Danio rerio: one gene and its partner. The protein of the gene in region 2 purifies or fractionates together with the protein of the main gene of each other region. This does not show direct contact. Links are inferred from orthologs where the notes say so. Each region holds a gene or a part of one and is shown on either strand. Other genes may lie near its edges.

The links. The genes of interacting proteins can lie anywhere in the genome.
Region 1: the proteins of gab1 (region 2) and met purify together in Homo sapiens (affinity purification with western blotting; 3 studies listed by BioGRID and IntAct, with this or other methods). This does not show direct contact. The link is inferred for Danio rerio from reciprocal best matches to the Homo sapiens genes GAB1 and MET.

The regions. Positions count from the first base shown.
Region 1 is NC_133200.1:19,674,455-19,676,964, forward strand, and holds part of met (hepatocyte growth factor receptor), read left to right. Parts: intron 1-1,450; coding exon 1,451-1,661; 3' UTR 1,662-2,510. UniProt on the Homo sapiens protein: Receptor tyrosine kinase that transduces signals from the extracellular matrix into the cytoplasm by binding to hepatocyte growth factor/HGF ligand. Regulates many physiological processes including proliferation, scattering, morphogenesis and survival.
Region 2 is NC_133176.1:38,713,822-38,717,490, reverse strand, and holds part of gab1 (GRB2-associated-binding protein 1), read right to left. Parts: intron 3,016-3,669; coding exon 2,790-3,015; intron 317-2,789; coding exon of another isoform or gene 227-316; intron 1-226. UniProt on the Homo sapiens protein: Adapter protein that plays a role in intracellular signaling cascades triggered by activated receptor-type kinases. Plays a role in FGFR1 signaling. Probably involved in signaling by the epidermal growth factor receptor (EGFR) and the insulin receptor (INSR).

The DNA.
Region 1 (2,510 bases), on a different chromosome or scaffold from region 2:
GAATTATTAATCAAATAAACACAGCCTTTACTAGCTGAAAAAATGTCTTTCTTAAAATTAAAAATGATTAATAATCACTTTTTTAACAGAAATATTTTAATTTCTACTCTAAAACAAAGCTAAAATGCTGGGGAAAAACATAAAATAATATTAAACAAATTTGAATTTAATTCATATTTAAACAATTTTATTTATATTGAAAAAAATACCTAAATTTAAATACAAAACATATATATTGAAGTCAGAGGTGCCCAAACATTTTCTTATAAATGGCCAAAAATCAAACTTGATTTAGGATTGTGGGTCGATGGTAAATCTACCAAACCTGTATTTCATTAAAGTTGCCATGGGTAATTTCCTAATTTATTTCATAATAATTAAAAATAAATAGCGAAAATTTGAATTTACCCATATTAGCTAATGCATTTTATCTTTTTACCTCGTATAATTAATTTATTACAATATAAACAAATGATTCATATTAACACTATAGAGTCAAATGCTGTATACACTAGTCAAGTGACAATATTTGCATAAAAAACAAAAATTTAATTAATTTACAACATTTTAGGTTAGCTTTTTTTGAAGCTTAACAATAAAACCAACAAAAATATTATTCTGTCTATATAATCTATATCATTAAATGCCTGACCACACTTCGTTATTATTGTTCATTTATTTGTTTGCTGGAAATTAGAACTGAATTTAGAAATAGTTTTAATACAAATCTTTGCGCTTAATAAACAAAATTAAATATGTAATGGATGCCTTCAACAGAGTGCGTACAACACCGTTTTCTTATCCACAAAAGTAAAGGAGTAAAGAAAAGAGAAAGTAAAGAAGCCGAATGGAGGAGGCTCATTCTTTATCCTCGCGCTGTGGATGGTTTGCCTAACTGTTTTCTCTCTAGTGAAGCTTTCAGTTTTTCCACTAACAAAGTCCACCATGTAAATTGCAAATGCACCATGGCGTGACGCAACTGACTCTTAAAGGGAATGGGAGACAAGTCTCTGATTGGTTTAATGCACGTTATGCTCAAAACACACCCATTACTCATTAAGAGAATGAGCACAACCCTGTAAGACTATGCGCTGCTGCGCAAACTGTATTTTTCCATCCTTAAAATAGCAAAAGTGGATTCAGACAAACCCTTAATGCTTTTGCACCCTGCGCTTTAGACTTTGCACTTAGATTGTTAAAATAGAGCCCTTGTTGTGCTTGTGAACTATTACCTAAAATAATCCTGTAATTTTAAATCGTCTCGTCTTTGCCATGAAAATGAAACAATTAATGGCATTTTGGAATCATTTAACAAAATGTACTTGTATGTCAATGTTATCATCAATTTGCATTGTTCTACTAAGTTTCCCCACAAGGTGTCACTATTAAACATCAGCAACAAAACAAACATTATTTTCTTTTGACTCTATTTTTTTGCCTTTCTTTATAGCTATAATGTCATGATTGAGTGCTGGCACCCCAAACCCGAGCGTCGACCAACTTTCTCAGAACTAGTGTCTCGCATCTCCGCCATCTTCTCAAGCTTCAGCGGAGAGCACTACATCCTCCTGAACACCACCTACGTCAACATCGACAAAATGACACCCTACCCCTCTCTCATATCATCTCAGAGCAACCTCGACCGCGACTGCTGCACCTGAGACACCAAAAAAAAAAAAAAAAAAGAGACCATGAAAGACTCTGGACAGGCTTTCATCATTGAGGCAGGGGGGAGGAAAAGAGTGGCCCAAGGACACTGTGAAAGACTTAAAAGGCCCGAACACTCCCTTCATCATCGCTGTAAATAGATTATGATGATCCGTGACCTGTGGAGGAGCTTGAGATGGTCCTGTTCTCCTGGGACGGAGAGCCAAAGACTAACGGCCTCCTATTCGATGTGAGCGTCTGATCCAATTTTGCTCTAAGCGTGTTCTCTGGCGATAACTGAAAGTGCGATTTTATTTTCTGTGAAAAGTGTCGTAAATTGTTGTGCATGCCTTCGTACCATGAACTGAACGCTGCATAATGAGGAGATCAGGAGAACACCGGACACATATTTTTGTTGTTGTTTTTTATCCAGGCCGATATGAATGAAATGGTTTTGTTTACTGTGTTCAGATAAATCTTATCTGTTCGACATTTGGATCTTACTGCCGTAGTAGTTCTATATTTTTATATATATAATCTGTTTAAGTTTAGTGTCAAAGCAAACATTAAAGGCCTGCATGGAATATGCACAGGTTTTTTTTTTACACTGATTGGGTCATGAAATCTGTAAAATGAATTTGAGGTATGGTTTAAGTAAAGTAAAATGTAAAATGTTTGTTAATTTTTTTTTCTGTAATGGTCTGATAATATTTCTTCCAAATTTCAAGTTCAAATATGGTCATTTAGGGCATTTTTTGTCTCGGAAAAGGATGTTAGGTCACAATTCCAAATGTTTTCATTTAGCGATTGAACATCAGGGTCATCCCTTCAAATAGTACTTCGTTGAATGAAAATTTTTGAAT
Region 2 (3,669 bases):
TGTCAAACCCAACCATGCATGTCACAATTCACACAAATCCCAATTAAAACTGTGCATTCACAGTTTTAGATACACAATGCAAAACAAAAACTAAGTAAAGTATTTATTTTAGGAAGTTACTGAAAAAAGGTATGCACACATTCAGGTAAAAACAACAGTGTCAGACTATTGGCCAAATGTGTGTGCGGTTTAGTACTGAATTTTCACACTGATGCTCTTCACTCACTGACTGTCATGAGCAGCGCTCCGGCTCTCACACTCCTCCAAAAGCAGGTATTCCTGCTCCTCCTCCCCTAGACAAAGAGGAGCAACTAGACTACACCACACACAAATACACACAATGAGCCCCTTATTTCCAGATCTTTACTCATCATACCTGAACGTACTCAAAGCTTTCAGTAGAGGTGGGCGGTTTTTTACATTACATAACGCTGATACTGATATACACTGATATAAATACAACAGACTCAAAAAGGGAACAATCCTATATAACAAACTGTTGGATAAAACAATGCATTCCAATGGCAACTAATTTAGTGGCTAATTTGTATGATCTCATTTAGGGCTGCACGATACATCGCTTCAGCATCAAAATCGCGATGTGCGCATCCGCAATAGTCACATTGCAGGAGGAGCGATGCAAAGCAAAAAAAATAATAATAACAATAATATATATATATAACTGCCATATTATTTTATTTATTGTAAAGTTAATTGTTGGTAATTATTAAAACAAGTTTATCTTATCCACAATTGTTTTATAACATGTTTATTTTTTTTTAAACCACTCAGGGGGTTATTGTTTAGCTGTTTTTATATTTTTACAATTTTGTGACGAGATATTTCCTTCTGTTTTTTAATTGTTGTAATAAAAAAGTTTGTAATTGTTAAAAAGTTAAATAACTTATTTTGTCACTCGTGTTAATTCCTAAATGTGATAATAAAGTGTCATCTTTACATTCACCAAATGAGCTTACCTTTATCACAGTAAAAGCAACATTTAGTATTAATATCATAACATATTAGATCCTTGATTTATCTGAATTGACAGTTAAGTCATATTTTTTATAAACAACCCAAAAGAAAGTGTTTTTACTTATTAATTTTTATATTCTATGAAAATGCTTAAAAAATTACCCAAATTATTATAGAATTAATGATTATTTAATTTTTGAGCAGTTCAAAACTCCCGATTCTGAATTTTTAAAATATCGCAATATATATCGCAGGGAAAACAAATATCGCAATGTCAATTTTTTCCGATATCGTGCAGCCTTAATCTCATTCATATATTTTAGTACGATTTTCCCATCTCCCAGAGAGGGGTAGTGGTGGGTTTTTGTGCCCATGCCTCCTGTTAAAAATCATATATATTCATAAGAACGAAATTGCATGAACTTTTTCGAGTTGACCATTTTTTTTAACAATATGCACAAAAGTTACATTTGCTCGTGAGATGTTGATGGATGAGCCATCTTTTAAAATAGCCAATAAATGGGTCCCTCTTTATTCGAGGGAGTTATGTTCTAAAAATAACCCACAATAGGCAAAATCCTTGAAATAGTCTGCTTTATTTTTACAATTATTATAGATGTTTTAAGGCTGTAAAACTTCTCATAACATACTTCATACACTTTTCTCAGACAGGCATTAACCTTTTCACACTTTTAGCTCTTGTTTAAACACTCACAAAGTTCAAACCTTCGTAGAAAAATAAGTCCAGTGTTATAAAATGTAACCAAATATTTGATTGATCATTTATTTATTTTCTCTAATGACACCCTACAGCAGTGTAACTTCTACCTTCCTTTAGCATGTCCAGAAGTTCTACTTTTTGTGGAATGGTTAGCATCTTCCTCTGCCTTTTACAGTAAAGCACTTTAGAGTAACATTGCTAGCGATCGAAGATGTATGTAAATTTGGCAAGCTGAACGCATTCTGTACTGTACAGAAAACACAGCATTAAGGAAATTGATTGAAAACTTTCTACAGCCAATCAGGGCACAGAACACTATCAGGGCGCAGAACACAATACAATGTAGAAAAATAGCATGTCGAATTGCACAAAAAAATGGTGAAACTGCGAGGCTGCGAAAAGTGAACCGTTATGCCAAAGGATGTCTGTATACACATCTGTAGCTATGTTTCCATCCAAAGATGCAAAATAAAACTATGCGCAAGATTAGAATATTACATAAAAAGAGTTGAGATTAAAGAAGCACTTCCATCCCATGAGTCAAAGAGAACAAAATAGTCACGTCCTGATAAACTGGTGCCAAATATCAAAAAGAACAACGGAATTTGCTGAGGTACAGAATAAATCGCTTGTGCTTGAGAGGACAATGCCAACACGACGATCTTGACAGTTCTGGAGGCAACTAATACTATAACAATAATACTGAAATAGTTACAGCATACTAGAATGACCAAAACAACATGTCAGATGTTTTACAATGTTGTCAGCATGCTCAGTTGTCCATTAATGCATCCCATCACATGCATTCTCATCATCACATGAAGTCTTAAAACAAAATCACATCACTTTTTTAAAATGAATGTATTCTGTAAAAGTGTTTCCATCGTAGTTTATGTGCATTTTTTATTGAATTAAACGTTTATTGTATTAATCGTATTATTTATCGAATTTGTTTTCATAGCTTATCGTATTATTTTTTTATGCGCATCATCAAAGTTTATATGCATCTTGGCATTTTAATCAAGCATTTGTTAATGCAATAATCCAAAATGTGCACAAAAATAAGTGTATGGAGACATAGCTTGGGATTTACCTGTTAGGCTCAGGTTTTTTGCTCTCACAGTTGAGCAGCCAAAGGTAGTCCTGAGGCTCATCTAGACTGGAGGATGATCCCAGCTGTCTGATGCTAACGGGCTGGTAGGGAGGAGGCAGGTTGGCTAATGCAGACGCCCCTAAAGCTCCGCCCAGCCCTCCACTAGGGGCCATATCCACGACCAGACCGCCTGGCACATTAACATGATGAGAGACCTTTGCAGAGTCTGTAGAAAGAACAGTGGGGTTAGAGAGGTTAACATAAAAGCTTCACACTTTATGAGATCACGAGCTTCGAGACACATTTAAGATTAGATCAAACTAAGGGCTACACTGCTTATTCAAAAGCTTTTACTGAAACCGTTCCTGTGTAAAACAAATTACTATTGTGAAAGTGTCTTTAAAGGATGACTTCTGGTAAGCTAAGAGCACTTGGAAAAAAAGAACTATAAATTGTGAAAATTAAATTGTGAAAATACAAGGTGTGGCTGTGAAATGTACTGCACGCACAAAAAAGTACACAAAAAAAATCAAATATCAAATAATTTTATTTGGTTCGAAAAAAAAAATTATATAAGTAATTAAAAAATAACGTCTTATTCATTAATAATAATAATTTGTTGCTTAATCACACTGTTTTCTGGAGTGCTTATAGAATATTTTTACAAATATTCAGCTCTCTATGTAGGTTTGTTTTAAGAGGTCCATATAGAACTCATCGTTGCATATTATACATACAAAGTTTACTTCAACCTAAGTTCCGCATACAATATCATTGGTATTTGTTTCTTTTTAAATGTGTTTATTTTAGTTTCACTTCTTATTTAAAGCAGTTTTTTGTTCCATTTACCTCCTCAGATTCTCTTTGACATATGCAACAG